Stegostoma tigrinum: one gene and its partners. The protein of the gene in region 1 purifies or fractionates together with the protein of each later gene. This does not show direct contact. Links are inferred from orthologs where the notes say so. Each region holds a gene or a part of one and is shown in the gene's direction. Other genes may lie near its edges. The genes, in order: prmt1, chtopa, protein LSM14 homolog A-like and SERPINE1 mRNA-binding protein 1-like.

What was found.
Region 2: the proteins of prmt1 (region 1) and chtopa purify together in Homo sapiens (affinity purification with western blotting; 7 studies listed by BioGRID and IntAct, with this or other methods). This does not show direct contact. The link is inferred for Stegostoma tigrinum from reciprocal best matches to the Homo sapiens genes PRMT1 and CHTOP.
Region 3: the proteins of prmt1 (region 1) and protein LSM14 homolog A-like purify together in Homo sapiens (affinity purification with mass spectrometry; 3 studies listed by BioGRID and IntAct, with this or other methods). This does not show direct contact. The link is inferred for Stegostoma tigrinum from reciprocal best matches to the Homo sapiens genes PRMT1 and LSM14A.
Region 4: the proteins of prmt1 (region 1) and SERPINE1 mRNA-binding protein 1-like purify together in Homo sapiens (affinity purification with mass spectrometry; 3 studies listed by BioGRID and IntAct, with this or other methods). This does not show direct contact. The link is inferred for Stegostoma tigrinum from reciprocal best matches to the Homo sapiens genes PRMT1 and SERBP1.

The regions. Positions count from the first base shown.
Region 1 is NC_081391.1:22,303,964-22,311,345, reverse strand, and holds the start of prmt1 (protein arginine N-methyltransferase 1), read left to right. Parts: upstream 1-4,270; 5' UTR 4,271-4,297; coding exon 4,298-4,315; exon of another isoform or gene 4,316-4,374; intron 4,375-7,382. UniProt on the Homo sapiens protein: Arginine methyltransferase that methylates (mono and asymmetric dimethylation) the guanidino nitrogens of arginyl residues present in proteins such as ESR1, histone H2, H3 and H4, FMR1, ILF3, HNRNPA1, HNRNPD, NFATC2IP, SUPT5H, TAF15, EWS, HABP4, SERBP1, RBM15, FOXO1, CHTOP, MAP3K5/ASK1, MICU1 and NPRL2.
Region 2 is NC_081400.1:101,454-108,567, forward strand, and holds the start of chtopa (chromatin target of PRMT1a), read left to right. Parts: upstream 1-3,928; 5' UTR 3,929-4,292; coding exon 4,293-4,350; intron 4,351-7,114. Other genes in the region: gba1 (lysosomal acid glucosylceramidase), read right to left, coding at 735-926, 3,278-3,338. UniProt on the Homo sapiens protein: Plays an important role in the ligand-dependent activation of estrogen receptor target genes. May play a role in the silencing of fetal globin genes.
Region 3 is NC_081369.1:64,935,488-64,942,828, reverse strand, and holds the start of protein LSM14 homolog A-like, read left to right. Parts: upstream 1-4,317; 5' UTR 4,318-4,452; coding exon 4,453-4,573; intron 4,574-7,341. UniProt on the Homo sapiens protein: Essential for formation of P-bodies, cytoplasmic structures that provide storage sites for translationally inactive mRNAs and protect them from degradation. Acts as a repressor of mRNA translation. May play a role in mitotic spindle assembly.
Region 4 is NC_081361.1:51,678,647-51,686,489, reverse strand, and holds the start of SERPINE1 mRNA-binding protein 1-like, read left to right. Parts: upstream 1-4,743; 5' UTR 4,744-4,852; coding exon 4,853-5,105; intron 5,106-7,843. UniProt on the Homo sapiens protein: Ribosome-binding protein that promotes ribosome hibernation, a process during which ribosomes are stabilized in an inactive state and preserved from proteasomal degradation.

The DNA.
Region 1 (7,382 bases):
TCAGTCAGATTATTGATAATATGTTTAAGATATGATGTGTTTAGACATGTTTCATATTCTTGCTGGGTGTAGTTTGTATGAACTAAATTGTTTGAAGCTCAACTCTAATTTGTAAGGATCTTTTAACATCCTCTGTACAGATGTTTTACAAATAAATGTCTTTCTAATGAGGTGTGATGAGACACTTATTGTTTTTCCTCAGCATGGATGTCTGATTCTGATTTTGTCATAGAGGTACACAGACCCTTCGGCCCAACTCCTCCATGCCGACCAGGTTTCCTAAACTGACCCAGTCCCATTTGCCTGCATTTGGCCCATGTCCCTCTAGACCTTTCCTATTCATTTATCTGCCCAAATGCCTTTAAAATGTTGTAATTGTACAGCCTCTACCACTTCCTCTGGCAGCTTATTCGATATATGCACCACCCTCTGTGTGAAAAAGTTGCCCCTCCGGTCCCTTTTTAAATCTTTCTCCTTTCACCTTAAACCTATGCCCTCGCGTTTTAGATACCCAATGCTGAGGAAAAGACCTTGGCTATTCATCTTACCTATGCCCCTCTTTTTTTTTAAACCTCAATAAAGTCACCACTCAGCCTCCCATGTTCTAGGGAAAACAGTCCCAGCCTCTTCCCTATAATTCAAATTTTCCAGTCTCAGTAATATCCTTAAATCTTTTTTGTCCCCTTTCCAGTTTAATAACATGTACTGTTTCAACTTTTGTCTCCCTTTGCAACAATGGAACGTGCAACCATATGTTCTGCTGCATGGACCCTAAGCTCTTAAATTCCTTCACTAAACATCCTTTCTCTCGATCATTCTCCAAGACCTTGCAGGGGTTTACGGGGCCTACCAGCTTCATCTGTTTTTGGTTTAAATAGAATCACAGAATCCCTGCAGTACAGAAGCAAACCACTTGGCCCATCGAGTCCACACTGACCTTCAGGAGAGCATCCCACCCAGACTTTAACCCCCCCCCCCCCCCACCCCCCACCCACCCCCCCCCCCACCCCCCACCCTATCCATGTACTCTTACATGGCTAACCCACTTAGCTAGCACATCCCTGGGCACGATGGGCAATTTAGCATGGCAAGTCCGCTCTAACCTCCAGATCTTTGGACTGTGGGAGGAAACCAGAACACCCAAAGGAAACCCATGCAGACACAGGGAGAATGTGCAAGCCCCATACAGACAGTTGCCCGAAGCTGGAATCAAACCCGGGTCTCTTGCGCTGTGAGGAAGCAGTATTAACCACTGTAAACGTCTGGTAATGCGTTTGTGAAATGTCTTGAGTCACTTAGTTAATTAGAAGTATTGGTTATAATTTGGCTTATTCCAGAGCTTAAAATTAGTAGTTAAATGGATCATCAAGGATGTTTGCAACCAAGAGGAGGCATTCCTCCAGCATTTAATTCAAATCCCTTGGTCAAATTATGGTCGCTGATGACTGGATGTGCAGAAGGTGAGTGATGATTTCATGGTTAGATTGCTGTCTCATTCACCTTCCTATTTTTGTGAAAGTCGACAAGTTATAGTCTAACAGGTTTGTTTGAAGAGACAAGCTTTCGGAGTCTCGCACCTTCTTTAGGTGTCAGTGACTGACATTGTTTTTATGAAGGCTAGCTGGAGTTCCTGCTCATTAAAATGGAACTTCAGTGGTTAAGAAATGATGAGCTTCTGTTTCCATATTGCCTTGATCTCAACTTCAGGATACCCTATAATGTCTTAGAGCTAACAGTGTAATTTTTAAGGGTAGCCACTGTTGTCCCATGGAAGACATAACTGGCATCGTGGAGAATTTCATTGTCTCCTTCATTGAAAAGAGAGAGCCAAGTTATGTGATATAATCTAAACTGTGTAGTGATTTGCCATTGATCTGTGATGGTCAGGCAAGTGTTGCATGCCAGAAAGCAAAACAGAAGTTGCTGGAAAAGCTCAGCAATCTGGCAGCATCCGCGAAAACAAATCAGAGTCCAACATTTCTTGTGCAGTGACCCTTCCTCAGAACTCTGCTGCCAGACCTGCTGAGCTTTTCCAGCAACTTCTGTTTTTATTCCTGAATTACAGAATCTGCAATCCTTTTGGTTTTTATGTTGTACAGCAGGAGCACGTTAATAGATTCCTTTGCTTTCCAATGTTTAGTCTAATCCCTACTTTACCGCCTCCATTAATGTATGGTTAGCAGCTCAGCCTCTGAATATGCAGACGTGCAGACATTATCTGCAGGTGGTAGCTCAATGCTAGAGGTTGGGGGTGGCGTTGTTTCTGGGCTGGGGACTACGCAGGGTGGACAGTTTCCTGCTCGTGTAAAGAAGCCGCACTCTGGCTGGAACCTTCATGGATGTGGAGTGGAGGGAATACCCTTTAGAACTGAGATGAGGAGGAGTATCTGCAGCCAGAGGATGGTCAATCTGTAAAACTCATTGTCACAGACGGGTGTTGAGGCCAGTCGTTGACTGTATAAAAGACAGTAATGCATAGGTTTGGAGGTTACGATGAGCTGGCAGGAAAATGGTGCTGACAAACACATCAGCCGTGAACAAATGGTGGACCAGACCTGATGGGCTGAGTGACCTAATTGTGCTCCTACATCTTTAAAGGTCTTCTGAATTATTTGAGCAGGGAAGATGGAGAATAATGTTGCTATAATTCAAAACTTTGCTTGGCCTGAGTTTACACAAAATTGGGTTTGTAGCACATTCATTGGTGAGAACTATAATTTGCATGTTCTGCCAAAGAGATTTTACTGAACTTGAAATGTTAACTGTGTTTCTCTCTCCCCAGATGCTGCCAGACCTGCTGAGATTCTCTAGCATTCTATGTTCTGTTTCACAGTTTACAGCAAATGGAGGATGATAAATGACTTTAAGAGGATGTTACACAATCCCACCTAGTTGACGGAGTTAGAAGCTTTTGTGAATTCAGAGAAGGCTGTGTATAGAAATGGCTGCTGTCTGCACTTTTCTTGGACTTCTCTTGTAAGGATCCAAAAACAAAGGGCCACAAGACCCAAAACGTTAACTCTGATTTTTTTTTCCACAGATGCTGCCAGACCTGCTAAGATTTTCTAGCAATTTCTGTTTTTGTTCATGATTTCTTGTGGGTTTTTATTTTCTAATCAGTCTGTTCAGAGAGATTATTACACATGGTGCATGTATGGAATGAGCTGCCAGAGGAAATGATAGAAGCTGGTGCAATTATAACATTTAAAAGACAGCTATATGGGTTTATGAACAGAAAGAGTTCAGAAGGATCTAGGCCAAATGCTGGTAAATTGGGGTAGATTTAATTTAGGAGATTTGATCAGCATGGACGAGTTGGGCCAAAAGGTCTGTTTCTGTGCTGTACAAATCTGTAACTCTACCTCTTGAGCAGGTGGGACTTGAACCCAGGCTTTTTCATTCAGAGGTCAAAGCAATAGTACTTTGCCACAAGATCCCCATTAAAATGGGATTAGAATAGCGAGACGGTTGATTTTGACCATCACTCAATGGGCGGAAGGTTCTTTTTCTGTGCTGGAACCCTGTATGACTCTATGCACTCTGGAGCAGGTGGGACATCAATTCTGGCCTCCCTTTTGGGGATAGGTGGACTACCACTGTACCATCACTGTCATTATCAAATCTGACCATTTGTGCAGCCAACTTGAGGGGTTGCGTGACCTCCTCCAAATCCTCTAAGTTTTATGTTCTGAAAGTTCCAAAAGGTCGAATATTTCAGATGTGTAAACGGCAGTGAGCACTGTATGTAGTGTGCATCTAAAGGACAGATGTATACCTAATGTTTAGGGGTTTATCCTTCCAGGTTGTGGGATTTAGAGTAAACTTGTCCTAGTAACCTATGGTATATGTATTTAGATTAGCCTCCAAGCGAGAGGATGCTCCGAACTAAATGACTGACTCCACGTGTGTGCGGCTGTAACCTTCAGTATTTCCTGATGGAGCGTATTGGCCAATCGGAAGTCAGAGGAGGGCCGACTCCGGGCGATGGTCCGCCTCCACAGACTGATAGGCATGTGATGTATGCAATGGAAGGAGGCCGTTGGAGCCTGGTCCCGCCTATCAGACGCGCCGCCCAATGGGAAGGAGAGACGGCTCGATGTGACGGACTTTTGAAAGAACCAATGGGTGTTGGGAGCCGCAAGCGGTGGTTCCGATGAGCGGTCAGCCTGACCAATAGAAGATGTAGAGGTGGGGCCGGGGTTAAAGACCGAGCCAATGAACGACAGGTGGAGGGGCGGGGAAACCAAGGCGTCGTGTATAAAAGCGATGACGAAGATGACGGCCCTTCTTTCACAAGATGGCCGAGTGCATGGAGGTAGGTGCTGGAGGGCGGCTTTGAGGACCGCGGGGTCGAAGACGAGTGTGGAGGTCCAGGTTGGCTTCGCAATAAAAGCCCGACGCGGTGGTTTTGATCAGTTAATTAATAAACATGGTGTGATTGGTGAGGAGGGGGGCGCCTCAAATTTAATTAATTGTCCGTGTGGTGGGGGGGGGGAAATGTTCCCGGGGAGGGGGAGGGTGCTGTGAAACGAGGCCTCGAGTTATTGGCCCCCGCCCTGGGGTGGGGTTTGTTAGCCAGAGGATAGGCCCCTTGGCGGGAGAGGGAGGTGCATTACTGTCCCCCCCCCCCCCCCCCACCCCCTCCCTCCTTTGTGGGGGTGGGTGAACTTTATTATCGTTCTTCCCCCCCCCCCCCCCCCAAAAAGACTTCATTCCCCACCCAGCTCTGCTAGTCATTGTAGGTATAGAAGAACCCCCCCCCCCCCCAACCCTCAAACACACTCACCAGCTCCATTATCCCTTCAGTGTTTCACAATTTTCACTCCTTCCACCTGCTTCCTCTTTCTCTTTCTTTTTCTTTCTCTCTCTCTCTCTCTCTCTGTGTCTCTCTCTCTCTCTATCCATCTCTCTCTCTCTCTCTCTCTCTCTCTCTCTATCCACGTTTCTAATTGAAAGCAGTCCAGCTTACCTTTCTGTTTCAGGGCAAATGAGATAGCTGGTTGAGGGGGTGGGGAATGTCCCTTTGTTTGCCCTCATGACGGTTCTCAGTCTGAATCTCCCATCTATAGCTTGGAGCCAACTGTGCATAATTGTCTTGCTTAGCAAAGCGTAATTTTTTTTCTGGACTTCTTTTCACTTGAGCCAAAAGTTCTCTTTACCACCCCCGCCCCCCAACACCCCACTTTCCCTCCCCCGCTGCTTGAGAGGGGCTACTGGCCTCAGTTGTCTTTGGACGCTCTGGCCTTAGGTAATGTGTCGATTTTTATCTCCTCTAAGTTCTGTCATGTTGGGTCCACTTTTGGTTTGTGGAGCTGGGACTTTTAAGGTTTCTTAAAAACTGTGTCTGTGTTTATAAGTTGACTTACCAGACCTTCTATCCAAATCCATGTTTAGCCTCATCCTCCCTGTCAGAATTGTGCCTGAGGTTTGGTTGACACAGTAACCTCGAGTTTCTTGTGATTTTTCTTGTAAAGTTTACAAAGGCTGTTAATGCTGAATTGAAAATCTGTCAGTCTCACTGATTTTGATATGTGGCTAATGCGTGCTCATGAGTTCTGTGGTAAAGTTTATACAGGCTTAATACAATTTCCTGAATTTGTATTAATCATGATTTTAATATGAAGTTAATACATGTTCATAATTTTCTCTAAAATTTACAGATGCTTAATGCTGTATCCTGAATTTGTATTAATCTCACCAATTTGAATGTATAGTTAATGTGTTACAAAAGGTGCAGTTTTATGGAGCCATACAACATGGAAACAGAATGTTCTGTCCAAACTCAGCTAGTCCCATTTGCCTGTGTTTGGTCCAAATCCCTCTAAACCTTTAATATTAGTTTCAGTGATAATAGTGTGGAACGAGAGGAATGCAGCAGGCCAGGCAGCATCAGAGGAGCAGGAAACTTAGAGGGGTGTACGGGCAATGAAAGTTTTTGTTTTTAGTGGGGTGAGAGTGGTAGTAAACGTCAACTTTTGGGACCCTTCTTCGTGACCCGAAACATCAACTGTCCTGTTCCTTCAGCTCCACACTGTTATCTCTGACTCCAGTATCAACAGTTCTTGCTATCTTCTATTTCTTTCAGTGCCTGTTTTAATGAGGTAATCCTGAAGGAATGCACCAGTCACTATTAATTTTAGGGATTGTTTCTGACCGTAGCTCAGTTTAGATCTTTAGGTGCTGTTAATTTGTTAAATTATTTTTTAAAAGAAAGTCTGATTTATAAGGGGAGCATCTGAGTAGTGGGGTAGACGTTTTACATCTGTCATCTACCACTTTGTTCACTGAATCACCTCTTCCTACATCCAGTTAGGTGCTGTTTCCTGTCCTCATTAATTTTACATCACCAAATCTTCAAGCATTCTCATTCTGATTTTTGGGGTTTTTTCATGTCTTCATCCTCCTTATTGAGCCATACAGCAGGGAAACAGACCCTTTCATCCTCTCATCTGTGCTGCCCAGACGTCCCAATCTGATCTAGTCCTGTTTGCCAATATTTGGCCCGTATTTCTATTATCTACCTATCCAGATGTCTTTTAGATTTTGTAATTGCACCAGTCTCCAACACTTCCTCTGGCAGTACTTTCCATATGCACACCAACCTCTGTGTGAAAACCTTACCCCTGAGCTTTTATCTGTAACCCTGTCCATTATTGTTCACTATTGTTTGCACTCATGTTCTTTCACTCTTGTGCATTGCTGACCCTTGACCAGACACAGCTGACAGTGCAATGTCAGGTAGCTGTGTCCTGTGTTCTGAAATCGTCTCCTTCCACACACACTTCTCGAGTATGTGTCTTGTGTCCTCCCTTGGCTTCTACTGTGTTTTTGTGAAGGCACTAGATAAGTGCGGGCTAAAGCTAGGAGCTGTGAATGACGAAAGTTCCATTGATTGCTTCTTGATTTTATATATTTATATCTCTCATTCCAACAGCTCCTACCTCAGACTGGAAATTTTTCCTCCCCTGTTTTGGGTGAAATCGGTTATTTAACATTTCTGTTTGGTCTGTACGTCATTTGGATTTTTCTTTGGAGTTGGGAGCTTTTGAAGTTTTCCCATCAAGTGTGCATGGGCAAATGTGTCTCACTAACTTGGTTCAGTTTTTGTTTTGAAGAAGTAACAAAGAGGATTTGCAGGCAGAGTGGTGAACATGTTCTATACAAACTTCGTGAAGGTGTTTGACAAGGTCCCTCATGGTAGACTGGTTAACAAAGGCTAGAACACTACAGGGAGAACTATCCATTTGGATACAGAACTGGTTTGAAAGTAGAAGACAGAGGTTGGTGGTGGAGGACTAGAAGCTGTTGACCAGTGGTGTGCCACAAGGATCGGCGTTGGTTTCACTGCTTTTTGTCATTTATATAAACAATTTGGATGTGAA
Region 2 (7,114 bases), on another chromosome or scaffold:
AGGGCAACGTGGAGCGAACAAGGGAGTCACGGAGAGAGTGGTCTCTCCGGAAAGCAGACAAGGGTGGGGATGGATAAATGTCTTGGGTGGTGGGGTCGGATTGTAGATGGCGGAAGTGTCGGAGGATGATGCGTTGTATCCGGAGGTTGGTGGGGTGGTGTGTGAAAACGAGGGGGATCCTCTTTGGGCGGTTGTGGCGGGGGCGGGGTGTGAGGGATGTGTTGCGGGAGACGCGGTCAAGGGCGTTCTCGACCACTGCGGTCCTTGAAGAACTTGGACATCTGGGATGTGCGGGAGTGAAATGCCTTATCGTGGGAGCAGATGTGGCGAAGGAATTGGAAATAGGGATGGAATTTTTGCAGGAGGGTGGGTGGGAGGAGGTGTATTCTAGGTAGCTGTTTTTGGTCTCCAAGTCCCAGGTTCAAATTGATTGGCTAAATTAAAAATCTTGTTGTCTTGATAAACTGCTGCTTGGCCTGCTAACTGTGTAGCTTTTCAATACAAATGTTTCATGTTGGGAGCTGTCTATGTACTTGCAAACTTTTGAGCTGCTGCTCACAGACATTCCTTTTAAAGTACTAAGCATAGGAAAAGCACATGATCTTTTAAAGGGACCACTCCATGCTTTTCCCTCTAGCATTTTACAAATACCAAATTCTAACTTCATGCCTGCTAATCCTCAAGTACTCCACCCAACTTCGCAACACATGATAAGCAGCAACTGCAAACCTTACCTTGTTGTTTGGTGTTTGTGAGGATTTTTCCTGTTTTGTGTTCAAGCCGCTTACCAGCTTTAGTGGTTTCATACAAAACATAATGGCCTTTCTTTGGCAACCGCAGTGGATCAACTGTATCGCAGTATGTCGCATTGCAAATACAAACCACCGAGCTACCCCCAAAACTCCTGGCATCACATGGTTTACCAGCTGAAAAGAGAAGCAAAAACTGTTAAAACAATATCAGAGATAATGGGAACTGCAGATGCTGGAGAATTCCAAGATAATAAAATGTGAGGCTGGATAACACAGCAGGCCAAGCAGCATCTCAGGAGCACAAAAGCTTATCAGAGATAATGGGAACTGCAGATGCTGGAGAATTCCAAGATAATAAAATGTGAGGCTGGATTTTCAGAGATAATGGGAACTGCAGATTTGTGCTCCTGAGATGCTGCTTGTGTTCATCCAGCCTCACATTTTATTAACTGTTAAAACAATGCTGTGTGGGGAACTGGACGAACACAGCAGGCTAAACAGCATCAGAGGAGCAGGATGGCTGACGTTTCGGGCCAAGACCCTTCCTGCTCCTCTGATGCTGTTTAGCCTGCTGTGTTCGTCGAGCTCTATACCTTGTTATCTCAGATTCTCCAGCATCTGCAGTTCCTGCTATCTCCAGAACAATACTCTGACCCATTTTCATCCCTTCTTACACTTTGAAGGTGCTAACTTTCACTGAGGTAATGTTCCAGGCACTGGTGACACTTTGGTACATGATTCAAATAGTAATTTATCAGATGAGATTTAACAGATTTTACAATTATAATTGACAACGGGTATATTTCAAAACCTCACTTAGAGCCTTGGGTTGAAACTTGTAGAAAACAGGAAAATGTGACAGTGATCCAATAGGGAGTATCCTTGAAAAAAAATGAACTACAAACAGGAGTAGACCAACAAGCCCAATCCACTATTCACGCAGATGCAAGTGACTTGGACAGGCTAGGTGAGTGGACGGATGCATGGGAGATGCACTTTAATGTGGATAAATGTGTGGCTATACACTTTGGTGGCAAGAACAGGAAGGCAGATTACTATCTCAATGGAGTCAAGTTAGGTAAAGGGGAAACACGAGATCTAGGTGTTCTTGTACATCAGTCAATGAAAGCAAGCAAGCAGGTACAGCAGGCAGTGAAGAAAGCTAATAGCATGCTGGCCTTCATAACAAGAGGAATTGAGTACAGGGGCAAAGAGGTCCTTCGGCAGCTGTACAGGGCCCTGGTGAGACCACACCTGGAGCATTGTGTGCAGTTTCGGTCTCCAAATTTGAGGAAGGACAGTCTTGCTATTTGAGGGAGTGCAGCGTAGGTTCACGAGGCCAATTCCCGGAATGGTGGGACTATCATACGTTGAAAGATTGGAGTGACTGGCCTCGTATACTCTTGAGTTTAGAAGGATGAGAGGGGATCTGTTTGAGGTGTATAAGATTATTAAGGGATTGGACACTCTGGAGGCAGGAAGCATGTTTCCGCTGATGGGTGAGTCCAGAACCAGAGGACACAGTTTAAAAATAAGGGGTAGGCCATTTAGAACAGAGTTGAGGAAAAACTTCTTCACCCAGAGAGTGGTGGATATATGGAATGCTCTGCCCCAGAAGGCAGTGGAGGCCAACTCTCTGGATACTTTCAAGAAAGAGATGGATAGAGCTCTTAAAGATAGTGGAATCAAGGATTATGGGGATAAGGCAGGAACAGGATATTGATTGTGGATGATCATCCACGATCATAGGGCAGAATGGCCTACTCCTGCACCTATTACCTATTGTCTGATCTGATTACTCCACATTCCCACCAATCATGATAAATTTTCACATTTGCTCGACAGGAATCTATTGACATCTGCCTCAAAAATATTCAACACCTTTTGAGGGAGAACTTTAATAACTCTCAATACTCTGAGAAAAAAAAATTGTCTCTTCTCCCATCGTCCTAGATTCTTTGGAATAGGAAACATCCTCTCCACAAACACCCTTTCAAGACTCCTCAGCATCTCCCAATGATGTCTGATCTCCTGGATGAAAAGCTATCCCATATGGTTTATCTGACTGCTAGGAACAGGTTCAGGCGTGTGCAGACTGGGAAATGAGCACAAGATCATGTAACGTGCAGGATCTGCCAGCCCAGAGCAGAAGATATAATGACAATTTCTGAAAATCTGTTCATATAGGTTATGGCCATTTTCAGGTCCTGTACTGCTGAGAAATTCTGCATTCCTATTAGATCAGGTCAGATGCAACAAGTCCACAGGTTTCAATCCTCAGTATTTAATGCAATTTTTGATGCCAAGATGGATTTGGCATTGTGAACTAACATCCCAGTGAAACTAACCCTAACCCAAAGTGAGTTGGACCTACACCAGTCTACAGGAGCAGCTGAGCAGGCTAGTTTAAAAGAAACAACCTGTTTCTTGCAGACTGTTTCCAATCTGGTTGCTGAACAAGACTCAGTGCCTGCACTAATCTGTGAAACATAACTCTCAGCTCCACTTACATTACAATTCCTCACCTGAGACTGGAAGGATTGTCCAGAAAGGCAGAAAACACAAACAGAACCAAACTGTGGACATCCTGGAGGAGGAAACTGCTCCAGTTTCTCCTTGTTAGTTTCTTCAATACCTTGCTGTATCCTAATTGAACAAAAAGATACAGGGAAAAATGTTAAATATATAATCCAAATCCAGGTCTTTGATTATGTTTAATACAGAGATAGCTGGACTCTTGTTAGTAATGGGAACAAGGGTTATGATGAAAGGGCAGGAGAATAGGGTTGAGTTACATATCAGCCATGATTGAATGGTGGAGCAGACTCGACGGATGTCTTAACGGTGTAAAACTACTGTTATGGTTTTACAGTGTACAGCCAGGCATAAGGAACTACCAGGAGTAAGACTGGGCAATGTTTAGATTGACTATCCTTCATTCCTGAGTGGACTGGTAGCATTTGTTGTAAATATCACCAGGTTATTGCCCTAAAGCGTGATCTAAAAGCTTTCAGAGTGCAGTGCCTGAGCCAGTGGTGTTCTGTCAGAAGTGGCAGACTGAGGCGGCGCAGCGTAGTCAGAGGATCAGTACTGAGCAATGGGCGCCCTCAGCGCTGACCCCTCCCCTCCCCTCCCCTCCCCGACAGCGCCCGCTCCCTCGGCGCTGACCCCCCGCCGACAGCGCCCGCTCCCTCGGCGCTGTGTCTAACATTAGAACCAGTAGGAACTGCCGATGCTGGAGAATCCGAGGTAACAAGGTGTAGAGCTGGATGAACACAACAGGCCAAGCAGCATCAGAGGAGCAGGAAGGCTGACGTTTCGGGCCGAGACATCAGCTTGCCTGCTGTGTTCATCCAGCTTCCCACCGCCTCTAACATAATCGGAGCGAGACGAACCCTTCATCAGCGAGAGCCAGCCCGCCATCCCACGTGACCAAACACGGCATCACGTCCCCCACGTGACCGAGTCTGTTCGCCGCCGCTGCCTCCCACGTGATCCCCCCTCTTGCCCAGGACTGGCACTGATTTCTGTCTTGGCCGCATGGATTCTGCTGTTCAGCTCCGCCAGCGGCAGTATGGCTCGGCTCTGCCAGTACCAGGTAAGGGGCTAAGGCCGCCTGCTGTAACTCATCTCTCCTGTGGGTCTTTCGTCCCTGGCTGACGATGCTCAGGGTGCTTCGGCCTGTAGCGGTGGACTCCGCCTGGTGAAAGCCGCCCTCAATTCCAGGCCCGTATCGAGGGTTCGGGGGATGGGGGTGGACTTGCTGGCTGGGCCTGTGTTTATTGGCCTCTCTAACTGCTCCTTGCGGAAGTGCGCTAGATGTTGTCTGTTGTAATATCGGCACTCTGACAGGAAGCACCGAGGAGCTGATCGTGTTAAATAGTGCAAGGCTGCAGGAAGATAAAACACAGGGCTGAGTGCAGGGAATCCTTGTGAATGAATCTCAAAAAAATTTAACTTAGAACATTGGAGGATGGCAATTTAAGTCTAGCGAGACCCCTCCACCGTTCAATACAGTCATGGTTGAATTTCTCCTTTGCTTCATAACGCATTATCCTATTACTTATTCTGAGTAATACAGTTCTGAGGAAGGGTCCCCGGAACCGAAACATTAACAGCTTATTTTTTCTCTCCACGGATTGTGCCAGACCTGCTGAGCTTTTCCGGCAACTTCTGTTTTTGTTCCTGATTCGCAGCATCTGCAGTTCTTTCGGTTTCCAGTTAAAAATCTTTCTGCCTTCTCCTTAAAGTACTCAGTGACCTGGCATCCGATGCACTCCCCGTGACCGAATTCCATAGATCCGCCACCTCAAAAACAAATGAATAACCGTTGTAGGCGCAGCATAGATCTATTTGTGTGCTAAACACCATGTTAATACAGGTCTTAAAAACTGAAGAACTGTGGATGTTGTAAATCAGAAACAAAACCAGAAATTACAGGAAAACCTCAGCAGGTCTGGCAGCATCTGTAGAGTGAAATCAGAGTTAACGCTTCCGGCTCAGTGACTCTTTTTCAAAACATTTTTCAAAACTTATCTAAGCAATTGAGGCCATCCAGAGAAGTTCACTAGACTGATGTGAGGTCTGAAGCACTTTGTTATGAGAAGAAGTTGAGTAGACTAGCCCCAATGTGACCTTATTAGGATAGATGTGGAAAGGTTGTCTCCTCTTGACCAAATGTGTGATCCCTTATTCTGAGATCATACCATTTAAGAGAGAAATGAAGGGGAATTTCTTGAGAATTGTGAATCTGTGGAATTCCTCCCCACAAAGGCTATTGAGGCTGGATCATTAAGCATATTTGAGATTGAGGTTGACAGATTTTTAATTGGTAAGGGAATAGAGAGTTTGTGGGTGAAGAAAGCAGAAAAGTGGAGTTGTGGATTAACAGATCAGCCGTGATTTCATTGAATGGTAGAACAGAACTCTGGACTGAATGACCTACTTGTCTTCTAGTCTTACCTAACTCTCATATCACCTTATGAGTTAAGGGCGAACAGATTTCTTGAATTGCTGTAGGTAGGCTTTCAATGTGGTTAAGGATTTTGACCCAGTATCACTGAAGGAATGGGAATATATTTCCATATCAGCATGGTGGGTGAACTTGCTCGTGGTGCTCCCATGTGTCTGCTGCCCTTGTCATTCCACATGGAAGCAGTTGTGGGTTTGAAACCAGTTATGTTATACGAGGATCATATCTGTTATTTGTAATATTTGTAAATGATCTGGGTGGACATGTAGGTGGTCTGATTGCTAAGCTTGTAGACAACATGAAAATTAGTTGAGTTGTGAAAAGTAAGGAACGTTGTCAAACGATACAGCATTTCTGAAGAAGGTTCTCAGCCCAAAAGTCAGCATTCCTGCTCCTCTGCTGCTTGGCCTGCTGTGTTCATCCAGCTCTATACCTTGTTATCACAGCACAATATAGGTCAGTTGAAAAGTTGAGTGGAGTGATGGCAGATGGATTTGAACCTGGTCAAATGAATTGATACATTCTGAGAGGTCAAATGCAAGACGACAGTATACAGTAAATGGCAAGATCCTTGGGAGCATTGATATACAGAGGGATCTTGGGGTGCAAATCCATAACTCCCTGAAAGGGGCAACACAAGGGCCTCAGTAAGATAACAAGGTGTAGAGCTGGATGAACACAGCAGGCCGAGCAGGAAGGCTGATGTTTTGGGCCCGAAACGTCAGCCTTCCTGCTCCTCTGATTCTGCTTGGCCTGCTGTGTTCATCCAGCTCTACACCTTGTTATCACAGATTCTTCAGCATCTGCAGTTCCTATTATCTCTGCCTCAGTAAGAGTATGGCATGCTCCAGAAGATTATGGGCCAAATGCAGGCAAATGGGGCTACTTTAGTTTAGGATACCTGGTCAGCGTGGATGAGATGGACCGAAGAGTCTGTTTCTGTTCTGTATGACTATGCTTTCTAAGGATCTTTGGTGATTTACTTTAGTGCATCAATGCACTACTGAGTATTGGGGGGTGGAGGCAATGATTGTTTCTGGCTGTGGTGCCAATTAAGCAGGCTGCTTTGCCCTGGATGATGTCAGTTTCTTGAGTGTTACCTTTATCCAGGCAAATGACAAGTGTTCCACCACACTCCTGACTTGTGCCTTATAAATGGTGGACTGGTTTTAGGAAGATGGGAAGTGAGTTCCTCACGTAATGTTCAGTGATGATGTGCCATTGAATGTCAAGTATTAGTTGCTAGATTGGCTTGTTGGAAAAGCTCTGAACTTGGTGTAATCATCAGTGAACATCCCTACTTCCGACCTTTTGATGGCAGGAAGTCACTGAAGCAGCTGAAGGCAGTTGAGGCCTCCGCAGCATTTTTGGTAGGAGAGGAAATTGAGTG
Region 3 (7,341 bases), on another chromosome or scaffold:
AAGATAACAAAGTGTGAAATTGGATGAACACAGCAGGCCAAACAGCATCTCAGGAGCACAAAAGCTGACGTTTTGGGCCTAGACCCTTCATCAGAGAGGGTCTAGGCCCGAAACGTCAGCTTTTGTGCTCCTGAGATGCTGTTTGGCCTGCTGTGTTCATCCAGCTTCACACTTTGTTATCCCAGCTCATCCCTGCCTCCCTAACCTGTTCTTCCTCTCACCCATACCTTCCTCCCACCTCACGCCGCACCTCCATTTCCTCCCTACTAACCTCATCCCACCCCCTTGACCTGTCCGTCTTCCCCGGGCTGACCTATCCCCTTCCTACCTCCCCACCTACACTCACCTTCACTGGCTCCATCCCTACCCCTTTAACTCGTCTGTTTCCTCTCCACCTATCTTCTCCTCTATCTGTCCTTGATCCACCTCCCCCTCTGTCCCTATTTATTTCAGAACCTTCTCCCCATCTCCCTTTTCTGATGAAGGGCCTAGGCCCAAAACCTCAGCTTTTGTGCTCCTAAGATGCTGCTTGGCCTGCAGTGTTCATCCAGCCCCACACTTTGTTAACACAAATTGTTTCATTTGTGTAAGCTGTTGTAATGATTATGTTGACACTCATTTACATTCTTCTCCCTTCACAATGAAAAATCACAATCAAAACAATTCCCCTCATTCATCTTCTAGTTAGTAATGACATTTAGTTCAGAGACACATAAGTTGTGAAGCTGTGAGATTGTTTTCATCATTGTAATAGTGGTGAATTCACTAGCTTGCATTGCCTTGAGTATAGAAGATTAACGGGTGATCAACTGGGCTGTTCAGAATTTTAAATGCATTTGATAGGATGGGCAACACTTCCTCTGATGGAGGAGTCCAAAAGAATGATGTATATCAATATAGCACTGACTCTTTGAAACAAAATCTAGACCCTTCATCAGAAATGAGGGAAGGGAAAGGAGTTCTGAAATAAATAGGGAGAGAGATGGAGGTCAATAGAAGATGGATAGAGGAGAAGGTAGGTGGAGAGGAGACGGATAAGTCAAAGAGGCGGGGATGGAACCAGTAAAGGTGAGTGTAGGTGGGGAGGTAGGGAGGGAATAGGTCAGTCCAGGGTAGACAGACAGGTGAGGTTAGTAGGTAGGAAATGAGGGTGCGACCTGAGGTGGGAGGAGGGGATAGTTGGAAAAACAGGTTAGGGAGGCAGGGACGAGCTGGGCTGGTTTTGGGATGCGGTAGTGGGAGGGGACATTTTGAAGCTTGTGAAATCGGGTCTAGTCTGGAAACGTCAGCTTTCCTGCTCCTAAGATGCTGGTTGGCCTGCTGTGTTCATCCAGCTCTACACTTTGTTATCTTTTAAAAACAAGGTTGTACTTCTCTTAATGTTGTCAAGGAACATGGAGTATGACAGGTAGACTTTCTCCTTCATCACTTGCTATAGGCTTTGTGTAGCAACAGCATCGGTTCTGGTTTGGCCATCTCAATCAGTAAGGGGGCTGCCAAGTTATTCCTGAAATCCATCTTTATTGATCTCAATACCAGAGGAAAAGTTGGACCAGCTGGGCTCAGACCTGCTGTAGTATGCAAGAGTAAGAGGTGACTTGAATGAATCATTTTTGATCCTGAGGAAGCTTGACAGGATGAATGTTCCAGAATGTTTTATCTTGTGGGAGAGTTTAGAACTAGGGGATCACCACTTAAAAACTATTAAACAACATTTTTCTTCAGAGTGAGCTCTAAGTTTTGGAATTCACTTCCTCAAAAGGCCATGGAAGCAAAATCTTTGTGTATGTGTAAGGTAGAAGTGGATAGCTTCCAGGAAGCAAGAGAGGTGAAAGGTAATTCTGGGCTACAATCACATCATCCACCATACATTTAAATAGCACAGCAGGCTCCAGGTATTAAATGGCCGACTGTATTTTTATATTCACATCTCCATCAGGAGTACTTTATGTCATAGAGTCACAGAGGTCTACAATACAGAAAAATATACTTCAGCTCATTGTGTCTGCATAAGTCAAAAACAACCACCTAACAATTCTAATCCCATTTTCCAGCACTTGGCCCATAGGTTTGGATACCTTGGCATCACAAATGCTCATCTAAATGCTTCTTCAGTGTTATGAGGATTTCTGCCTCTACCATCCTTGCAGGCAGTGAGCTGAAAATGTTTTTTCCTCACATCTCCCCTAAACCTGCTGTCCCCGGTCATTGATCTCTCCAACAAAGGGAGAAATTGCTTCCCGTCTACCCTATCTATACCCACATAATTTGACACATGTCAACTATGGGATTTCAAGACAAGAGGGCATATTTTAAAGGTGAGAGGAAAGAGATTTTAAAAAAGACGTAAGAGGCAATTTTTTTACACAGAGGGTGGTTCACGCGGGGAATGAGCTTCCTGAAGAAGTGGTGGACATGGGCACAGTTACAACGTTTAAAAAACACTTAGCTAAGTACTTGAACAGGAAAGGTTTGGAGAGATATGGGCCAGGAGCAGACAAGTGGGACTAGTTTAGTATGAGATTATGTTCAGCATCGATTCATTGGATCAAAGGGTCTGTTTCTGTGCTGTATCGCTCTATGTCTATGACTGTCAATCTCTTCTCCATCTCCTTTGCTCCAGTCTGTCCAATTTGTCTTCAAAGTTGAAACTCTCAAGCCCAGATAACATCCTGGTAAATCTCCTCTGCACCCACTCTAGTGCTATCATTCCCTCCCAAAATGTGGAATCCAGAACAGCAGTATTCTAGCTGTGGCCTAACCAACATGTTTCACAGTTCCAGCATAAGCTCCCTTCTCTATGCTTCAACTAATAAACATGAATATACCAGATACCTTCTTCACCATAAAGACATACAGCATAGAAACAGACCCTTTGGCCTACTGTACTCAATGTTCCCTTGGCCTACTATGTCTATGCTACCAACAAACACTAATTTTGTGGTCCTGAGTAATTCCATTTACCTGGACTTAGCCCATGGCCTATCATGCCCAACACTTAAGTACTCATCCAGATGATTCTTAAATGTTGTGAGAGTATTTGTCTCCATCACCCTCTCAGGCAGCACATTCCATATTTCTACCATTCTCTGGGCATAAAAATTCTTCCTCAGATCTCCTCTCAACTACTTGCTCCTCACATTAAACTTATGCCCTCTGGTCTTAGACACATCTGTCATGTGGAAGAGATTCTTTGATCTGTTCTGTCTATGTTTCTCATAATCTTTTATACCTCAGTCCCAGCCCACCCACCCCCCCCAACTTCCTCTGCTCCAAGGAAGACAAACCCAGCCTATTCAGTCTCTCCTCATAACTGAGACTTTTCATCCTAGGCAACATCCTGGTGAATCTCCTCTGCACCTTCTCCATTGGCACATTGTAAAATTCTTTCCATTCTTCTGATTTTTTCCCCTTTGTTTTAATCTTATACAATTCTGAACCTCCTTTGTTAGCTGTAGTTGACTGATCATTTTTGAGGTTTGGCACATTGAAGGAATATACAGTTGCTGCAAGACATGTAATCATTCCTTAAAGACTATCCATTGTCTATGGACAGTCATGTCTTTTAATGTATTTTCCCATTCCTCCACCATCAATTTGTGCCTAACTTTATTTTCCTGTTAAAATTGAATACCCTTGCTTCAAATGAAACTTCCCCACTTTTAAACATAAAGCAAAATTCAATCTTATTGTTGTCACTCAATCCTAAATAAATATTTTCGAACAACATTGAACTAGTTATGACTTTAAGTTACAATAGATCAGGCCTAAACTAACTTTTTTTGTATGTGTAGGCATATTGTTGTCTGGCCTGGTGTAGCATGATCTTCCTTGCTATTTATGCTCAGTGATGCCCAGATCCATTATATCATCGTAACATTGCTCCAGGGTCTTTAAACCCCTAAATCACAAACGATTTCAAAATGTAGCTTGCAAATCCAGAGGTTGTTATTATTTTGTTATTATTTAGATAGAAATGCAAATATTATGTGTGTACTTCAAAATTTTTGGTAAATGCCAGCTAGGTTTAGAAATAAAACTAAATCGTGGAGCAGTTCCCAGCTCTCACTTCAGATTTCTTCAATGATTTGAGAAGTTAACTTTTCCAGCAATGTTTTTGAGTTAGTTTTGGAGAGTTACGAGGTGCAAGCTTCCGAGAGAGAGATGCTTGTTCGCATCTTTTAAGATTTCGTCCTGCAGAGAGTGAGACTGGTGTTGTGCAAAGAGAGGGAAAGAAACAGAAGGAAAGTACTGGCTGAGTGGGGGAAGGGCCTGGCCACTGGAATATGAAGGCAGCCATGTTGGCTGCTGCCTGAGCGAACGTCACGGACCGGGGGGGTAGGGAGGTGGATAGAGAGAAAGAATAGGCCGGAGCGGGACGGTAGAGGCAATCCGCATTCATCCGCTGCCTCAGCTCCCGCAAATAGTGGTAGGCACTGCACAGCTACCATCATGAGTGGGGGTACTCCTTACATCGGCAGTAAAATCAGCCTGATCTCCAAGGCAGAGATCCGATATGAGGGGATTTTGTACACCATCGACACCGAGAACTCCACCGTCGCTTTAGCCAAAGGTAAATGGCGTAGAGGCGCCGGGCCTAAGAATACGACCCCATCCCTTGTGAATAACTCTTGTCTATAATAATCCCTCACATTTCGACATTCTTATCGCTAAAGAAACACAATTTGTTATTTAAACGTCGGGCAGTTTATCCCTTGTTTTAAAAAAAACTAAAATGGCGGGATTTGTCAACAAGAGCTTCTGTTCTCTTAAGTGTGTTTAATTGTATTTCAATCTGAGCTTTAATTTGGATGTTTTCTTACTTTCTTTGGGGAGGGGGTGGGGAATGTGAATTTTATCAATATATTCTAATTGGATGTGGTAAAGAAAGTGGGGAGTGGTCGGTGGTTATAAAGACAACCTGCTACCCACATCATAAACAAAAATAACTAAGACATTTCGTTTTAATATTTCTTTGTATGACTCACTGCTTTTAAATTGAATGGCTGCTAAATCAATCCGATTTGTTCGTCAAATCAGATAACACTGTTGCTCCTTGCAGTTCGTTATCCAGAGGAGTCTCCGCTTTTGTGGTTTTCATCCTCAATTTAGTGTTTATAATGTTTATATTGCAGTGTCTTCCAAGCAAATTGTTATATAGAAAATTCGCTGATAACTTTTAAAATGTTAGCTGCAGTAACTTTCATTTGTCTAGTGATAATGAAGCAATATTCTGATTGCTATTTAGATTATCTCTGGACTACTTCGAAGTTCCAAATCTTTAACGTACGTAAGAATTTCATGGTTGAGGTTATTTTTGTCTAGTTATTGGCAAGTAACGTGTTATCCAATTACCCCTTTTGTTGGAAGTAAACCCCAAAATAATAATTAGATTTTAATGAATTTGTGAAGATGTTGAATTGACTTGAGAAGGTAATTTTCTGAGCAAGTGTTTTAGCTTGAGGTATGATAATAGTGCACTCCAAAAAGCACTGATTTGTCTGGTTACTTGGGTTAAATGGGCATCTGTCTTTCTGTTGAAAAGATTTAGTTGGATAGTTTTCCAATAGACTGGAAAATCTAAAACACTTCAATTTGGAACAACCTAACGTGATTTTTGTGTTTGTGTTGTTTACAATGATTTTGTATAATGTGTATTCTTCAATAAGGCTTTACTTTGACTACCTATCGTTGGGTCTTTTAAGAGTTGGAAATTGGTGACTCCTGAGGAATTTATCGATGTGTTGTGGTGCCCACTACAAATAATTAGTCTAGAATAATTTTGTAAGTTTATAAATGTAGGAAAGAAGAGATTCTGTTTGTGGCAACCTCTGTTCAAACAATTTAACAAGTTTCTTTTTCTTTTGTTCATTCCTTGTAGCCCTGCAGATTTTGCCTCTCTAGATGTCCATCTAATTTCTTTTTAAAGCTATTAAGGAATCTGCTCTTTTCCATCTTTTCTGGCATTGCATTCCAAATCAAACCCACTTGCTGAATACAAAAAAAACTTGGCACTTTTTGGCCTTTTGTAATCTCCTTAAATTTGTTTCCCCCCAGTTCTTAACCACCTTGAACATGGGAACAATTTCTTTCTGCACTGAGTTTGTGTTGTGACGTGGACCAATTCAATCACATCTCCTCTGAATCGTTACTTTTCAAAAAGAAGAACTGCCCCAGTTTCACCCATCTAAGCTTGTGACTGGTCCCTGGAGTGAGAAGCTTTGGAGATCTGCCTCATTCGTTCCTAAATCAGGTGCTCAGAAAGAAAACATTTAATCTAGCTCCTCTGGTAAATTGTGTATGATCAGTTGAACAAAATGACCTTGCTTCGGTACACTGTACGATTCTGTTTTCTGGTGTCTGTAAGCAAAACCCAAAATTGTCCAGGATTAGAGTTGATACATGGGAATTCTTTCTGCTGACTGAAATGACTGGAGGCCAGAAGTCCCGAAAGGATGTGGGAAAAGGCAGAAGATAAAATAAATGACTAGCAGAAAAGACCACCAGCCGGAAGGAGGAAAAAGTTACATCTGTGAATCCCACGCTAACATTATTCCTCTGTGCTGGCTGCAGAAGGCATTGCTGCTTGGAAGTTGACCTCTTGCGACAACAGGTGATGTTCACACCAATGACATAAGACCTGAGTACAGTCTGCTGTGTTTCAAAATGCATGGGTGCCATTAATGTCTTTTCCATGTGTTTTCTAACTCTTTCTCAATGATATAAATGGATTTATAGTACAGAAATAATCTATTCTGGCCAGTTTTTGAATGCCACAGAAGTTTAGAAAGTTTGAGGATAGTACCATGAAAGGTACCACAGAACCTCTACAGTGAAAGCTGGACATTTGGCCCATCAAGTTCATGTGACCCTCTGAAGAGGGTCCCACTCAAACTCAAACCCAAACCCAACCCCCGACTCTGTTCCTGTAACCATACACTTCCCATGGCAAATCCACCTAGCCTGCTCATCCCTGAACACTACGGACAATTTAGCATGGCCGTTCCACCTAACCGCCTCAGCTTTGGACTCGGGGTGGGGTGGGTAGGAAACTGGAACGTGTCTGGAGGAAATCCATGTGGACGTGGAGAGAATGTGCAAACTCCACACAGACAGTAGCCCGAGGGATGGAATTGAACCTGGGTCACTGTTGCTGTGAGGCCACAGTGCTAACTGCTGCAGCACCCATTTTCTTCCACTTTACGTCATCCTGCCCCAATGTCATATCTTTAAATTATTTCCTCCCTTGCACTTGCCCATTTTCCCAGAAGTGTGTATTAAAGAAGCCTGTACCTGTCTTGGAGGTGAAGGGCAGAGATTCACGAAAGTTTTTTTTAAATT
Region 4 (7,843 bases), on another chromosome or scaffold:
ACCCCCAGCTACCTACTAACCTCATCCCACCTCCTTGACCTGTCCGTCTTCCCTGGACTGACCTATCCCCTCCCTACCTCCCCACCTATACTCTCTCCACCTATCTTCTTTACTCTCCATCTTCGGTCCGCCTCCCCCTCTCTCCCTATTTATTCCAGTTCCCTCTCCCCATCCCCCTCTCTGATGAAGGGTCTAGGCCCGAAACGTCAGCTTTTGTGCTCCTGAGATGCTGCTTGGCCTGCTGTGTTCATCCAGCCTCACATTTTATTATCTTGGAATTCTCCAGCATCTGCAGTTCCCATTATCCCAGTCTATCCAACCTTTCTTCAGAGCTAAATTCCCGCATACAAGGCGATATACTGGTAAACCTTTTCTGAACACTCTCCAAAGCATCCACATCCTTCCAATAGCATAGTGACCAGAACTGTACTCAATATTTAATGTAGCTTAACTGAAGTTCTATAAAACTGCAGGGTAACTTGTCCATTCTTGTACCCAATGCTCCTTCCAAAGAAGGCAAGCGTGTCATAGGAGATAACAAGGTGTAGAGCTGGATGAACACAGCAGGCCAAGCAGCATCAGAGGAGCAGGAAGACTGACGTTTCAGGCCTAGACCTTTCTTCAGAAAAGCATGTCATAAGCATTTTTTTAACTACCTTATCTACGTGTGCCGCCACCTTCAGTGATCTGTGGACTTGCATACTCAGATTTCTCGGTGTATCATTATTCCTTCGAGTTCCATCATTCACTGTATAATTTCCACCTGTACTTGACTTTGTAAAAGGCATCACCTCACATCTATCTGGATTAAACTCCATCTGCCATTTTTCTGCCCATGCCTCAACTGATGTATATCCTGCTGTATTCTCTGAAAATCCTCCTCATTATGTACAACTCCACCAATCTTTTTTAACAAAGTGTGAAGCTGGATGAACACAGCAGGCCAAGCAGCATCTCAGGAGCACAAAAGCTGATGTTTCGGGCCCAGACCCTTCATCAGGGATGCCTCCACCAATCTTTGCATTGTCTGTAAACCTCCAAATCATTTGTGTAGATCACAAACAGCAGAGGTACCAACACTGATCGCTGTGGAACACCACTAGTCACAGCTCTCCATTCAAAACAGCATCCTTCCATGGCTACCCTACCTGTGTTTCCTATGATTAAACCAGTTCTGTATCCATCTTGCCAGCTCACCCCTGATACCATGTGACTTCACCTTTTATACCAGTCTGCCATGAGGGACCTTGCCAAGGCTTTACTGAAGTCCATGTAGACAACATCAACTGCTTTTCCCTTGTCAATCATCTTAGTCGCCTCCTCAAAAAAACTTGATCAAGTTTGTGAGGCACGTTTGCCCCTGCATAAAACCATGCTGTTGATTTGCTAATAAGTCAATTTGCTTCTAAATGCATATAGGTCTTGTCCCTGGGGAACGTTTCTAACAATCTCCCTATCGCTGATGTGAAAGTCACAGGCCCGTAATTTCCTGGTTTATCCTGGTTACCCTTTTTAAGCAATGGGTCAACATTAGCTATAATCCAGTCCTCTGGGACCTCACTTGTGGTCAGAGAGGATACAGAGATGTCTGTCAATGAATGGTTTGCTCTAACAATATGGGGTTGGGGAGAGACAGGCATTTTCTTTAAAATATACGCAAATAGTTTACTGTCACTGGACCAAATTCCGTACAGTGTCCAAAAAAGGATAGGTGTTATATTTCTTAAACTAAAATTGATTGAATGCTCCTGATTGCAGGAACAAAGAGTGCGAGAGGGATTAAAATTTACAAACTAAGGAACCTGGACTTGACCCGCGTCCAATACTGCCACTTCCAGTGCTAAACCATAAGAAATGGGAACAGGAATTTGCCCCTTGAGCCTGCTCTGCCATTCAACAGGGTCATGTCTGATCTCACAGATTAACTATTCTCTCAAAGAGTTGGCTCATTATTTAAATAATTTAATCAGGCTGCCTGCCTCAAATTCTAAAACCTTTTTTTGTCTAATGGCATGGACTGAGTTTCCAGGGCTTAGGAAAACCAAAGAGAGGTGAGAAGGCTACAGCTGGCAAGTCTTTCCAGCACTGTTTGTGTGCCAGGAGGAGTAGGAGTGCTGAGTTTTCCTTAAGCAAACTGTCTCAATCCATGATAATAAAATGTGAGGCTGGATGAACACAGCAGGCCAAGCAGCATCTCAGGAGCACAAAAGCTGACGTTTCGGGCCTAGACCCTTCATCAGAGAGGGGGATGGGGAGAGGGAACTGGAATAAATAGGGAGAGAGGGGGAGGCGGACCGAAGATGGAGAGTAAAGAAGATAGATCTTCTTTACTCTCCATCTTCGGTCCGCCTCCCCCTCTCTCCCTATTTATTCCAGTTCCCTCTCCCCATCCCCCTCTCTGATGAAGGGTCTAGGCCCGAAACGTCAGCTTTTGTGCTCCTGAGATGCTGCTTGGCCTGCTGTGTTCACCCAGCCTCACATTTTATTATCTTGGAATTCTCCAGCATCTGCAGTTCCCATTATCTCTGTCTCAATCCATGCTCTGATCTGTGCCCAACTCAAACCACCCCTGTCAAAACCGCCCCCCCCCACCCAACCCCACACCTCCACAACCACCCCCCCCCCCCCCCCCCCGCTACGCGCACACACACACTCTTTCTGTTCCTGCTCCTTGGTTCTGGCCTAGTGGTACAGGCTTTCCTGCCAAATAGCTTCTCAACCTAAGTAATGACTAGCTATGATATAAGAAGGAAGTTTCAAATTTCTTACTATAACTTCAGCAGGACCTTTATGTTGTCCACATTCACTGGCTTCCAATCTGCCAACACTCCCACCTGTCCACTCCCTCTCTATACCTTCATAATTATTGGAGCGTTAGACTCAGAAACTTCAAACAAAGTTATCATATTTGCTCAAGATACTAGACTGGGAAGGGCAGTTGATGTAGAGGCAGCGATTTGAAAATTAATGTTATGCCATGAGGGACCTTGCCAAGGCTTTACTGATGTTCATGTAGACAACATCAACTGCACAAAATAAGTATGAGCGATAACACAGACCAAAATAAAATCCATTTGTACAGTGGTTTTCATGAATTCAGGGCAGCTTTACAGCTAATGAAGAGATCTTAATGTATAATCAATGTTGTATTGTACAAAACACAAGAGAGAACAAGTTCCAAAAGACAGCATATGTGGTAATGGTTTATTTATGATGTTGATTGAGGGAGAGGTATTAGATAAGAATCTTTGGAGTTCTTGTGGTGCAGTGGTCTTCAACTCATGTGGTAGCCTCCCCGCTTCCGATCCATAGTCCTCTAATTTCAAGTCTCGCTCCAGGACTAGTTGGCTATGGAAGAACCCAGCCTTTGATGGCTGACAAGTCAATGTGTAACGTAATTAACAAGGATAAGTGGCAGGAAAAATATTGAGCTCTAAAGCCACACACCAAATTCAGAAATGATGGTTTATAACAAATGGAGAAGGATGATCCACAATGATGATCTTTTGTAATGTGAACAAAACTGAAAGAAACAGTGATTGGAGGATAAATATTAAGCAGGCAATCGAGGGTAGCAATCCTGTTCTACAAAATAATGGGATCTTTTATGTCCATTTGAAAGAGGTAGTCAGGGCCTCAGTTTAGTCACTGATCTGTAAAATGATGCCTCTGACAATGCAACAATCTCAGTACCACACTGGATTGTCAGCAAGAATTTTAGTCCTTAGAACTGAACCCACAACATTCTGATTCTGAGCCAGTGAATGACAGATAAAATTTAATGCAAGTGCAAAGTGGTGCAGATATGATAGAATAATAAGGACACATATGCCCCATGACAGGTGTTTAATTAACTAAGGATATAGAACATAATCTAATTTTGTGAATTTATATCTTTACTAGACCGAAGAGAAGATCCATATCCTCGGAGATTACTGTCACTCTTTGCAATTACTGCTTCCTCCATAGGTTTTCAAGCATCTGAAGTGTTGGACTGAATTCTACCTAAAGATTATTGAGCAACGCTTTGAGCAATGGAATAATGACTGAAATCGTCCATATTACATGTAGGTAATAGAATTGTAGAATGGTTCATCCTTTGTCAGCTCTCCGAAAGTGATCAGCTATTCCCAAACCCCCTCCGTTTTCCTCTGGATCTGCAAATATGCTCTGTTTAGCTAATATTAGACCTCTTTGGAAGGCGTAATTAAATCTGTTTCCATCACCCTCTCAGGCTGTATATTCCTATCCCAACTACTTGTGCTGAAAAAGCTTTTCCTCACATCCTTTGCCAGTCACCACAAACGGTGTCCTCTGGGTCTCCACCTTTCCACAAATAGACATACATGTTGAATATTGAAATAAAAACATCTGGATATGCTTGCAGTTTTCTACACAAATCTAATGATAGGTTGTCAATCTAAACCGTTTTCTCATTGCTAACCATTAACAACATTTTGTGTTTTTATTTCTGATTTCCACCATCCACAATATTTTGATATGAAGAATTTTTGGATGCAGACTGCAAAAGCTGCCTGAGTCTACCCATTCGGAATAAGCTTCTCTGACACCATGTCTCACATGGGTTGGCACAACAGTGAGCAGGCGGTGCACATTGGGAAATGTGGTCTGCTCCTTGCGGGCGCGGGTGTCTGCGATCAAACGGAAGGCCAGGAAAAAGACTACATTCCCCAGCAGGCAGCCGAGGTTGCGCGGCTAGTGCCCGGATGGCGCGGCCCAAGATGCAACGCGAGCAAGAAGACCGTCTCTAACCGGCCATTTTGAGGCTAATTGAAGCGGTTTCTGCAGCCTTGCAGCATCCAAGGAGAATCCGCACTTGAGGGGCCCCATCATGCCCGGGAACTTACAGGAAGGCTTCGGCTGCGTCGTAACCAATCGGTTCGACCAACTATTTGGCGATGAATCTGACCCGTTCGAGATTTTAAAAGAGGCTGAAATCAAGAAAGACAAGAAGGAGAAAGACAACAAGACGGCCGCATCTAAACAGCAGCCCAAAAAGGAATCTCAGAAGGACAGGAAGGTGCCCGTAACATCCAGCGATGCGAAACCAGAGTCCCAAGCTCCCGTGACCTCGAGAAAAGAAGGTATTGGATCCTCTGCGGGAATGTTCTTATTACATTCATTATTCGCAGGAGTTGGTATTCGGAAGAAGAGCGTGTTGCAGTTGTTCTAGTTTTATAGAGTCGCTCATGGCAAATGCCAGGTTTAGGAAGCATGAGGGACTGACTGCTTCCTAAAAGACTCCCGGGCTTTTTATCTCCAGCCTAGGCATCTCCCGTCGGGCTGGGCCTTTGCCTGTGTGGGGGTGGTTGTGCTGGTGGGATTGTCCCTGCAAATCCGCGTGCTGTGGCTTCACTCTCGAAATGAGAATGGGGAGAGGTTTGCAATCGAACAAACTGACACCCATAGTCCCTTCTCGCGTTGTGTTATTTTAATGGATGAAGGATAGTTCATTCACTGTTTGAGGGCCATTTAATACAGAGCGTTCAGTTTATTTTGTCACTCCGGTGGCATGGAGCAGGTTTGAAAGGTTGGGGGGAGGGGGCGGTGACTTTATAACAGTACTTGTACCTTCGTCCGAACTTCATGTTTCTCGCAGACCTAAATCGACTTTTAACACTTACTTGTTGTCTCAGATTTTTTTTGGTTTTAATGCAGTGGTTTGTTGGAATACATCTCTTTTAAGTGAATAATTTAAGCATAGCGAGTGTACTTGAAATCTGTATGACAAGTTTGTGGATGAAAGCTACTTGTGGTTTGTAAACCAGTTTAAGAAACCCACGTGCTGGGTCAGAAGGATTCGTCCATTCTTTTTAGGCTAAAGGGTGTTGCCCCAAATCTTGCACGTGTTGATGTACTGTTCTTCGTTTCAAAATATAACTTTTTTTTAACAATATAAGCGTCCGTGTAATCGCTTTTATCTTGTACTGGCAGTATTTCCTGCTTGAGATTCGAAGGTGTTGTGCCTTGCTATCTGCTGCAATTTTCTTTAATTCAGTAAAGGATCCTGACCTGAAATGCTGACTTTCCTATTTCTCTGCTGCCTGACCTGCTGTGTTCCTCCAGCTCCACTCTGCGTTGACTGACTCCAGCATCAGCAGTTCTTGCTATCTCTAATTCAGTTTACCATTTTCAACTCAGTTGTAGCAGGATGTATATTCTATCAGACTTAATTTGTTCTGCAATATTATTTGATATAAGTGTTTTGAAGTCTGGCCTGTTAGCAGTAAGCAATCTCTTTGCAGTGTAATGTACAGTATAATTTTGTTAAATGTGTGTTGGATTGTTGAGATTTCACTTATATAACTGCAAACACCATGCATTCAGAGTGTTCTTGCAGAACAGTTGTAGTTTTCCACCCTCTGGACTAGAAGGTCTGGATTGAAGCATCACCTGTCTCAGACATGTGTCTTAATGTGTTTGAGCAGGTTGGTTAAAATAGCTACAGCACGTGTTAAACACTGATTGATACATCTTACTTTTGTTGGGGCCACTTTGGGGTTTGTAGAATAGGTGTAAAATATCATGGTGCTCCAGCTACATAGTTTTAAAGATAAATCAGTTCTTGATTTTGAAATAAACCAGAACTACCTTTTTAGACATAATTTTGAGAATCAATAATCTTTTGTAAAATAACATTAGAAAATTCTTTTTTTTTTGCAGAAATTTTTTTTCTATATACACAATGAGAAAGTTATTTATAAAATACAAGTAGACAGGTATGAGTGAATACTCCATTCCCTCAAGGTCCCTTTACTAAAATCCAAGGCTTTATTTGATTAGACGTACAGAGGAGCTCCTCATATGTACTGTTGTTTACTTCAAATTAGGTTACATATCTTGTTATTCATGAATTAACTTTTTAGGCTTTATGATTTGCTTAAAATGGGATTTGGAATATTTTTCCACTGGCAAATTTAACACTAGATGTGCAAAGATGTTCATCATTAAATATTAGTTTTGTCCCGTTGTAAATACAGAAATTTCTTTGCACATCTTTTAGTTTCACCTCTGACTGCATGTCTGTTTGGTGCATCCATCTCTTGTGCCTTCAGAAAGTAAAACCAGAAAAAATGATATCACGTGAGGTGTATCCCTTGCTGCAGTTGGCCCTTGGAATCCAGGCATTTCCATTTCAATTTGGTGAGCCTGAAAGTTTTGACGTTTGGTGCTTAACACTTAATTCATTAGTGTCTAAATCCTCTTTCTAAACATGTGTGAACCTTGATAGAGGTGCAGATTTGAAAGTTGACTTTAAATAATTAAATGTGCCCTCAAAGTCTCATGCTTGAGATCAAAGAAAAAGAGATGGTAGATGCAAGCCTCTTAAACAGTGGATCTCAAAGTTAATTGAATTTTCATTTCAATTTGTAATATGTACTAGTTTTCTATTCAAGGACTTGCTGTAAGAGTTTTTTTAGTACCACTCGTGCTTCACAGCAATTAAATATTTTTGAAGAGAGAGATAATAGGAATTGCAGATGCTGGAGAATCTGAGAATACAAGGTGTAGAACTGGATGAACACAGCAGGCCAGGCAGCATCAGGGGAGCAGGAAGGCTGATGTTTTGGGCCTAGAAGAAGGGTCGAGGCCCACAATGTCAGCCTTCCTGCTCCTCTGATGCTGCTTGGCCAGCTGTGTTCATCCAGCTCTATACCTTGTTATCTCTCTTTATTGAAGTGAATTTTTTTTAAGGCAAAATCATACATTAAGCCATAAGTGACCAATTGACCTGTTTTGCCTGCAGTGTGGAAGGAATAAAATTTTCTTTGAATAGAGGCACTGGATCTCTATGCCGATTTGAGCATTTTTAAATTGTTAT